3 linked regions of the Macaca fascicularis genome follow. The protein of the gene in region 1 interacts with the protein of each later gene in a biochemical or structural test. Links are inferred from orthologs where the notes say so. Each region holds a gene or a part of one and is shown in the gene's direction. Other genes may lie near its edges.

The links.
Region 2: the proteins of NXF1 (region 1) and ALYREF form a complex in vitro, tested with the Homo sapiens proteins (2 studies listed by BioGRID and IntAct). The link is inferred for Macaca fascicularis from reciprocal best matches to the Homo sapiens genes NXF1 and ALYREF.
Region 3: the proteins of NXF1 (region 1) and RBM15 form a complex in vitro, tested with the Homo sapiens proteins (2 studies listed by BioGRID). The link is inferred for Macaca fascicularis from reciprocal best matches to the Homo sapiens genes NXF1 and RBM15.

Annotation. Positions count from the first base shown.
Region 1 is NC_088388.1:11,252,300-11,255,949, forward strand, and holds part of NXF1 (nuclear RNA export factor 1), read left to right. Parts: intron 1-27; coding exon 28-137; intron 138-1,923; coding exon 1,924-1,960; intron 1,961-3,072; coding exon 3,073-3,141; intron 3,142-3,221; coding exon 3,222-3,277; intron 3,278-3,650.
Region 2 is NC_088390.1:88,268,729-88,272,443, reverse strand, and holds the start of ALYREF (THO complex subunit 4), read left to right. Parts: upstream 1-821; 5' UTR 822-827; coding exon 828-1,085; intron 1,086-1,586; coding exon 1,587-1,718; intron 1,719-3,086; coding exon 3,087-3,234; intron 3,235-3,426; exon of another isoform or gene 3,427-3,540; intron 3,541-3,715. UniProt on the Homo sapiens protein: Functions as an mRNA export adapter; component of the transcription/export (TREX) complex which is thought to couple mRNA transcription, processing and nuclear export, and specifically associates with spliced mRNA and not with unspliced pre-mRNA.
Region 3 is NC_088375.1:123,967,148-123,969,647, reverse strand, and holds part of RBM15 (RNA-binding protein 15), read left to right. Parts: coding exon 1-801; intron 802-2,500. UniProt on the Homo sapiens protein: RNA-binding protein that acts as a key regulator of N6-methyladenosine (m6A) methylation of RNAs, thereby regulating different processes, such as hematopoietic cell homeostasis, alternative splicing of mRNAs and X chromosome inactivation mediated by Xist RNA.

The DNA of each region.
Region 1 (3,650 bases):
CTCCCTTTTTCCTTCCACCTTTTGCAGTTGAAGTCTGAGCGGGAGTTGGACAAGATAAAGGGGCTGAAACTAGAAGAGCTCTGGCTCGACGGAAACTCCTTGTGTGACACCTTCCGAGACCAGTCCACCTACATCAGGTCAGTTGTAGCCTGTGTCTCCCCTCCTGGGGACCTTCACCCCCTGGGAGGCTGAGCTAATGCATCCTGACCAGGGCCCGTCTGCGGAGATGTGCAGCCCTGAGCTGGAACCACCTGTCCTTTGGGAGGATCACGTGCTCCCCACTTTGGTCTGTCTATGTCTTCCAGCTTTGTCCTGAGATCCTTTCTCTTCTCTTCTGACCTGACTATCTGTTTGCTGGGTCTGTGGCCTTTCTCTTTCTTCCTGAACACAACCTTTTCTAGAATCTCCCTACCCTGTTGTTCCAGGAAAGGCATCTCTCCTTTCTACTCTGACCAGAGGGTATTTGTACATACCCTATAGATGGAGTGGCCTTATACCAAGAGCCTGATGTCCGTGGGCGGAGGAAGCCCTCCCTGCCTGGGACTTCCTTACTGAGATGGGCCTTCCGTCCTTTGTACTGTGATGGTCCCTCTTGCCCTTGCGCGAAGAGGGACCCTTTTCTCAGGATCCACTTGCCCAGGGTTGTTGCCTGGGCATTCCTGCCCATGCTGAGGTTGAGGCCTCCTAGGGGCTGGTGGCATGCAATCTGTCTATCTCCCTGAAGAAGAAACCTGGGTTCCCCAAGACGTGATCAGAGCTGGGGCCCCGCCAGCAGGCGAGGGAATCCCAAGGCAGGTGCTGGGCGTGGAGGCCACGGGGGCATAGGCTACCAAGGAGACAGAGAACTGAGCCCCTCGGGGGCGCTGCCTCTCCCTCACTCACACACTGCACGTCACCCTGTTTGGCCCCGGTGGATGGCTGGTTAGCCAGAGACGGGTAAGATTCCTCAGGGAAGGAACAACCTAAGACAGGCACAGTCGCAGAGGGGCCATCAGGAGATAACTTGGGGGCAACAGAGGTGGGGCACGGACCCTCACCCCCACAATCCTGCAAGGGCCTGAACCCTCACACCTTCTGAGGGAGGTCTCCTGCCCCCATGGCTGCTTTGCTCCCCACGCCCAGCTCAGATCGGGACCCAGGTAGCAGACAGAGACCTGGCCAACAGCAAGTGCCCACTCACCACAGCAAGGATTTGTTTCTCATTTCTACCTTGGACCACAGGGATGGGGCAGCTGAAAGAAAGGGCTGTGTCAGTTTCTCCCTTTTCTCCCTCATTTTTCTAGATGCTTTTTTGCCTTGTAGTTCTTTTCCCTTTTTCTTTGCTTTCTCTTTCTTTTTCTTCTGTGTTTCCTATACCTCCCCATCTCTGCCTTGCCCCTGCCCCATCTTGCCTTCTTCTCTTTTTCCTCCTTTTCCTCTCCTTTCTTACTCCTTGGCTTCTCCTCTTCCTGAGCCCCACCTGCTCATCTCCCTGCCCCAACATCCTGTGCCATCCCTGTGGTGTGTTTGGGTCTTGGCCAAGGCCAGACCTGGCAGAACTGATGGATACCTGGTGAGGCAGCGGAGCCCCTGGGCTCCCACCCCATTCCCTCCTCCCGGGGCTGCACAGGTGAGTAGGTGGAAGGTAAGGGGGGCAGGGAGGGGAAAGAGGTCCTGGGCTTAAAGCCTAGGTTTGGAGTACTGCTCCTTGACACTCAGGGTCAGGCAGAGAGAAAAGAGACAGCCTTCAAGGCAGTCCATGTCTGGGTGCCCCGGGTCAGGTGGGGAGTGGGGCCATTTTTCCCTGAGCACAGGCTGGGAGGGAGTGGAGGGATGAGCAGGATGGGATGGGCTGTCCCTCGGGTTTGGTATATTTGCTCCTAGAGCAGCCCAGGAGGCACGGTGGCTCTGAAGCATCACTTACTTCTGTCCCGTTCTTGACAGCGCCATTCGCGAACGATTTCCCAAGTTATTACGCCTGGTAAGTCCATAATTTTTTCATTCTAACAAGCACAGTGTCTCCCACTCACAAGGATTCCTGGATAGTTTTCTTTTTCTTTTTATTATTTTTTTTTTTTTGAGGCGGAGTTTCACTCTTATCGCCCAGGTTGGAGTGCAACGGCGTGATCTCAGCTCACCGCAACCTCCGCCTCCCAGGTTCAAGCGATTCTCCTGCCACAGTTTACTGAGCCCGAGTAGCTGGGATTACAGGCATGTGCTACCACGCCTGGCTAATTTTTGTATTTTTAGTAGAGACAGGGTTTCACCATGTTGGCCAGGCTGGCCTCAAACTCCTCACCTCAGGTGATCCATCCACCTTGGCCTCCCAAAGTGCTGGGATTATAGGCGTGAGCCACCTTGCCAGGCCGTTTATGGAGTCTTGCTCTGTTATCCAGAGTGCGGTGCAATCTAGACTCACTGCAACCTCCGCCTCCTGGGTTCAAGCGATTTTCCTGCCTCAGCCTCCCAAGTAGCTGGGATTACATGCATGTGCCACAACGCCCAGCTAATTTCTTTGTGTATTTTTAGTAGAGACGGGGGTTTCACCATGTTGGCCAGGATGGTCTTGAACTCCTGACCTCAACTAATCCATCCACCTTGGCCTCCCAGTGTGCTGGGATTACAGGCATGAGCCACTGTGCCCAGCCTGGATTCCTGGATACTTTTCATGATGCTTTTATACGTGACTTCTGATCCTTCTCTGTTAGTTCTTTAGTCTACTTATGCATCCAGCCTTTTTCTCTCTGGTTTAAACTGTCAACTTTTGTTTTGTTTTTGAGACAGGGTCTCGCTCTGTCATCCAGGCTGGAGTGCAGTGGCACAATCGTAGCTTACTGCAACCTTCGCCTGCCAGGTTCAAGTGATCCTCCCACTTCAGCCTCCCAAATAGCTGGGACTACAGGCACACACCACCACGCCCAGCTGATTTTTGTATTTTTTTTTGGTAGAGATGGGTTTTGCCATGTTGTCCAGGCTGGTCTAAAACTCCTGGGCTCAAGCCATCTGCCTGCCTCGGCCTCCCAAAGTTCTGGGATCACAGGTGTGAGCCACTGTGCTCAGTCTACACTGTCAACTTTTATTTCCTTTCCACAGGATGGCCATGAGCTACCCCCGCCAATTGCCTTTGATGTTGAAGCCCCCACGACGTTACCGCCCTGCAAGGTAGGAAGCATGGACTGAGTAAGAACTTATGTGTGGAGAGAATACTGCTTCCATGTTCCTAATATCTTGTTTGATTTCAGGGAAGCTATTTTGGAACAGAAAACTTGAAGAGTCTGGTCCTGCACTTCCTACAACAGTAAGTATCCCAGGGCCCCCTCTCCCCACCCCGGGGTTGGCAGGGAAAGGTGGGCAGACCCAGGCACACCTCAGCCTCACTCTTTTGGGTTTTTTTTTTGTTTGTTTGTTTTTTGGACAGTGTCTCACTCTGTCACCCAGGCTGGAGTGCAATGATGTGATCTTGGCTCACTGCAACCTCTGCCTCCCAGGGTTCAAGTGATTCTCCTGCCTCAGCCTCCCCAGTAGATGGGACTACAGGCGTGTGCCACCACACCTGGCTAATTTTTGTATTTTTCATAGAGACGGGGTTTCACTGTGTTGGCCAGGCTAGTCTCCAACTCCTGACCTCATGATCTGCCTGCCTTATCCTCCCAAAGTGTTGGGATTAGAGT
Region 2 (3,715 bases), on another chromosome or scaffold:
GCTAGGGTTTTTTTGTATTTTTTAGTAGAGACGGGGTTTCACCGTGTTAGCCAGGATGGTCTCGATCTCCTGACCTCGTGATCCGCCCGTCTCGGCCTCAACTAATTTTTTTTTTAAGAGATGGGGTCTCACTGTGTTGCCCCAGCTGGTCTCAAACTGCTGGGCTGAAGCGAACCTCTTGCCTCGGCCTCGCAAAGCGCTGGGATTGCAGGCGTGACCGCGCACGAAAACTTGTAAAGGATATGACTAGCAAATTGTGAGAGTGCAGACTCGGGGGTCTGCAGGTGGGGACCAAACAACCAACCCGCAGCTCTTCTGCGGCGGCTGTCGCCCGCCGAGTCCTCCGCTGGACCCCGCCGCGAGCCGAGCGCACAGTCCCGGGCGGGAGCGGAAACAAGGACTCCCAGCGGCTGCCGGGCACCCGCCGCGCCCGCAGGGCCCCCAGCGCCCCCAGCCCAGGGCGATCGGGTGGGGCGTGCGGGGAGGGAGGGGCGCGCAGGCTCCGCCCCCAACGGCTGCCGCCCCACCCCCTGCGCCCTCGCACCTTCGCCAACCTAATCACGCGCCGCCCTGCCCGCCCTTCCGTTGGCAGCGCCGGCGTCCGCGCGGGAAGGTATAAAAACGACCTCAGTCGCGGCCCGGCTCCCTCAGCAGCGCCCGCCGAGTCCCGCGAGCCAGTGCGCACGCGCCTTCCCGCCTCACCCCGTCCCGCGCGCGCAGCCGTCCGCCGGCGGCCAATCAGCAGTCGCTCCGAGGCCGTGGCACCGGAAGGCCTCACGAGGCGCCGGAAGTGACGCGCCGGCGTGCTGACGCGCGGGCTCGAGCCGATGCCCGATTCCGCGCCCGCCATGGCCGACAAAATGGACATGTCTCTGGACGACATCATTAAACTGAACCGGAGCCAACGAGGCGGCCGCGGCGGGGGCCGGGGCCGCGGCCGGGCCGGCTCCCAGGGCGGTCGCGGCGGTGGGGCGCAGGCCGCCGCGCGAGTGAGTCGAGGCGGCGGGCCCATCCGGAACCGGCCGGCCATCGCCCGCGGCGCGGCCGGCGGAGGCGGCAGGAACCGACCGGCGCCCTACAGCAGGGTGAGTGCGGAGGCCGGCCGCGCCGGAGAGCGGGAGGGGACCAGCCGGGGCCGGGGCGTCTCGCGGTGGAGACCCGGGCCGGCGGACAGATAGGGCCGGTGGAGCGGCCGCCCGGAGGTCCGGAGGGTGCGTGTGGGCGCGGAGGGGGTGGTGGGCGGGAGCGAGGTCGTTCTTTCGGGGCCCGGTCTCGGAGGCTGAGACCCTTCCCGGCTCTTTGTTTGTTCCGGCCGCCGGGGCCTCGTGGCGGCAGGAGAGGAGGGGACGCTGGGCGCGGCACCGGCGGCGGGAAGTTAGTCGAAGGGAACTGAAGTTGTGCGGCCGCGGTGGGACCGTGCCGCCTCGGGCTGGGGCAGCTGCTGCGCCGGAGGGAGCGCCGGCGGCCCCGTCTCGGCCGGATCCTCTCAGGCCGGGAAGAGGAAGGGTCCGGAGTAGCCGTGAGGGCCAGGAAAGGCCTGGACTGAGACTCACGGATCTGCTGTTGTTGCGGTTTTTTTTCTTCAGCCAAAACAACTTCCCGACAAGTGGCAGCACGATCTTTTCGACAGTGGCTTCGGGGGTGGTGCCGGCGTGGAGACGGGTGGGAAACTGCTGGTGTCCAATCTGGATTTTGGAGTTTCAGACGCCGATATTCAGGTAAGAGACGAGGGCTTCTCGGTGAGCCGTTCGCCCTGCACAGGACCGATCGTGATTTGGGGGAGGGGGCCCTGAGTCCCCTTCCCGCCTTAGCGAAGGGAGCGCTCCCAGCTCTCAAGGGCTGCAGGACAGACCTAGCTCTAGTAAAGCCGGGCTCAGTCCGCAGGCAGGTGCGAGCCTAGCCGAGCCTGAGGAACTGCTGCTGATAGTGTGAAGATGGGTTCTGTGAGTGAACATCCCCAGCCAGGGCTTCCAGTTTCTAACAGGGACCAAAACTGATCAAATGTGAGTGGTTGTTGGCTGTTTAACCCAGCCCAGTTGCTCTTTAAATGTTGTGCCCCTTTTAGTGGGTTAATGTGAGAAAAATAATCTTTTTTATGTACCTTATGAAGCACAGGAAGCCTGTGTGATTTTCTGGCTCTGTCTGCCTTGAGTATTGTCTTATAAAGACGTTGTACGCTGCGGTTTTATCACTCCCCACCCCCGTGTCCCTTCAGTGACATGATTCTCAAGCCCATCTTTGGTTGAAGCTTTTCTTTTTTTAAAAAAGAAAAATTGAATCCCAATGGCATTTAAACTTGTTTTCTGGTTAAGAAATGATTTTTTGGGAGTCAGTTTTGGAGATGGCTGGGCAGGGTTCAGTTGCCCACAGCCCAGCCATTTGCCTTGGGAGGACAGAGTAGGGCCAGTGAGCACTCACAGTGTCTCAACACTTTTTTTAAGGTGGTTTCTAGCATCCACTGGAAACCGCTTTTGGTGAACTCCAGTTCCCGCTGTGTGCCTGCGGCCGGAGTATCCCCACACTCTGGGTTCCCTCTCCAACTCCCAGCCTGCCTGAGGTCAGGGCAGTTTCCATGGCAGCGCTTGACTTCAGACTTTGCGGCAGGCTTGAGTAGGAGGAGAGGGAAAGGTGAGCCAGAATCTGCCTCTGGGGGAGGGGCTGGGGTCAGGGCTCCCGAATCTACAGGCCCTTCAAGCTGGTCTGATATCGGACTGCTTCCCTTGCTCTTGCTCTTGATCTTGGCCTTTACCGTTTCTTGGAACAGCCCTTGGGTGTGTTGTAAATTTTCCTTCGTTGAGGAGGATAGTGGCTTAATTTTGTGCCCTTTGCTAGTGGGCTTTGCGACTTCCTCTATCTGCATCATGGTACACGTGTCAGGTCCCCACAATGGCAGGAGCCCTCAGACCCAGGTGCTCTTGGAAGTTGCTGTCCCTTCTGCCCCACCCTTCCCTCATTTCCCGTTACCACTGTCCTGCCTCCCAGGGAACCACCCCCAAAGCAACTCACGCTTCCAGGGCCTGTCCCTGGGCCACCAGAAGGAACCCAGTTTTGTTGCTTTTCTGACAACTGTTCTTTGCAACTCCCAGGAACTCTTTGCTGAATTTGGAACGCTGAAGAAGGCGGCTGTGCACTATGATCGCTCTGGCCGCAGCTTAGGAACAGCAGACGTGCACTTTGAGCGGAAGGCAGATGCCCTGAAGGCCATGAAGCAGTACAACGGCGTCCCTCTGGATGGTGAGTCTGGGGGTAGACCCACGCTGACTGTGGGGCTTGTGGAGTTTGGGGCTGGCACCTGTCCAGGTAGGAAAATGGGGTACCCCTGTGGCTGAGGACACTTTGCATTTGCCCCTTTGTCTCTCTCTTCCATCTGCCACCTCTCATGCTGCCCCACACATCTGGACCAACCTCTTGTGAACCCCCATCCAGCAAGCTACATCCCTCCCCTCCTTCAGCTCCTTCCGGAAGATTCACTTCTGTGAAGCCTTCTCAGAACCGCCATAGTACACCTCTGAGTGCGGGGCTGTAGTCGTAAAGACAAAGGTACCGGTTCTTCTTCGTCAGGTCACCCACACCTCTCCACCCACGAGCACCCTGACACCTCAGCAAGCAGCCCACCCAGTCTGGACTGAGAAGGATGAGGAGGTGTTGGTGGGGTTGCTTCCTTGCCATTTTGTTCTCCCACCAGTATCTCCAGGCCATTTCCCTTGTCGGGGGC
Region 3 (2,500 bases), on another chromosome or scaffold:
ATGATCGATCTTCCCGTCTTCTCTTGGAAAGGCCCTCTCCAATCAGAGACAGACGAGGTAGTTTGGAGAAGAGCCAGGGTGACAAGCGAGACCGTAAAAACTCTGCATCAGCTGAACGAGATAGGAAGCACCGGACAACTGCTCCCACTGAGGGAAAAAGCCCTCTGAAAAAAGAAGACCGCTCTGATGGGAGTGCACCTAGCACCAGCACTGCTTCCTGCAAGCTGAAGTCCCCGTCCCAGAAACAGGATGGGGGGACAGCCCCTGCGGCAGCAGCCTCTCCCAAACTCTGTTTGGCCTGGCAGGGCATGCTTCTACTGAAGAACAGCAACTTTCCTTCCAACATGCATCTGTTGCAGGGTGACCTCCAAGTGGCTAGTAGTCTTCTTGTGGAGGGTTCAACTGGAGGCAAAGTGGCCCAGCTCAAGATCACTCAGCGTCTCCGTTTGGACCAGCCCAAGTTGGATGAAGTAACTCGACGCATCAAAGTAGCAGGGCCCAATGGTTATGCCATTCTTCTGGCTGTGCCTGGAAGTTCTGACAGCCGGTCCTCCTCTTCCTCAGCTGCATCAGACACTGCCACTTCTACTCAGAGGCCACTTAGGAACCTTGTGTCCTATTTAAAGCAAAAGCAGGCAGCCGGGGTGATCAGCCTCCCTGTGGGGGGCAACAAAGACAAGGAAAACACCGGGGTCCTTCATGCCTTCCCACCTTGTGAGTTCTCCCAGCAGTTCCTGGATTCCCCTGCCAAGGCACTGGCCAAATCTGAAGAAGATTACCTGGTCATGATCATTGTCCGTGGTGCGTCCTAAAGTCCATGTGTAACTTGTATTTACTACTTTGACATGGTTCCTGTTTTGTGATGTGTAATGGGATACAGCATCAGATGCAATTTTCTTTTTAGTTGTTAGTTGTAGCATTTTCTTTTTTATATTTTTATAAACGTCTTTAAAATAGAAATCAGGACAGTTTAGCTATTTTTTTGTTTGTTTAGCTATTATTTTAAGTGAAAGGGATGCCCTAAAGGTAGCAGGCAGACAGATTTGCTTTAATTAGGAGTTCCCACCCTTACGAGTAATTTTTTTCCTCTATTCAGTTTTTTTTTTTTTTTTAATCTTGAGCCTAAAAAATCCTCTGAGTTACAAAACCAAAACTTTGAAAAGTCAGAATTTGGAGAAAGGAGTCCACTGACCATACAAAGAGAGTAATAGCCACCTAAAAAATGACTTGATTGGTGTGTAGGTAGATAATTCTTTTACCAGAAATGTGTGTGACTGAAATTTGATCAGGGATCTCAAAGGTATGCTGGTAAATTGTTTAGCAATGTAATTATTTTAATCAGGTATTTGAATATTTCTTAAGATACAGTTTATTCCCAGAGAGTTTGCTTTAACATGCATTTTTAAAATCATTTGTTCTAGAGTTCTGTATCCCGTGTATGCACTTTTGGTTTGTAGCAGTAACTGTTCAGTAAAAATTAAGGACTGTGTTACAAACCATATATGTCTTATGCTTACACTAGTATGCAAGAAGTGAGTAGGTGCTTTTAAAATCAGAATTCTTTGGTCAGTTATTGGTGTGTGGTGATGTTTTTACTGACTTTTTCAGAGAGGTGTAGCAGGTACAGTTCTAATTGTGCATCTTTCAAAACTGTTCTTCATCAAAGATGAGTTTTTGATTTTGTATCCATTCAAATTTCTGGTTTCAATAATAGAAAGAAGAGTTGTCTGCAGGCTCGTAGTCATCTTTTATTTCAGTGGGCATTTAAAGCAGCCATATTTGGATTGCAGACTTTCTTAAAAAGTCATCATAAAATGCCTTTGACATGCTCTCTTAAAATTTTGCTTGTCTTTTTATTTTCATATTTAAACAGTAGTGACATTACTATTGGAAATGTTTTGAACATTTTGGAAATTTTATGTTTAGTATTCTCACTGCTGTCCAGCTACGGAATTGAAATGTCAGTGTAGGAAAATCTTTTTTTATTGTTTTATTTTCCCAGACACCTGGAATTAATACAGGATCATTTAACTTACCCTCACAGTTTTTTTTTTTCAAAGGTGATAATGACATCAACCTCTGGTTCTCAACAAGGACTTTTGCTGCTTAACAGTAATGGATTTTGTTTTTTTTTTAAATCTATCCCCTCTGTCCCACCCCTAATTTGTCAGGTCATGAGTAAGTATATTTTTCTCCCTTGATTTAAATGCTGAAGACTTCAGCTAAGGCCCTTGATATTTAATTATGATTAGAGACTTTTGGACCTTCTGGATCATGGTCATGTTTCTGTTCTGTGAAAGTGACTTAACTTGAAGCCTGGCAGAACCCAACTGTTTTCTTTCTGTTATCAAAGCTGGAAGTTTTGAAATAGCACCAATAATAACCCAGGGAAATGTCATGTAATTTTTATTTTCCATTATGACAGGTGTCTAATGCATGTCAGCACGAAAGTGTCATCACTGCTGTGTCATCCCTCTTGGTTTTCACTATGCATTTATAA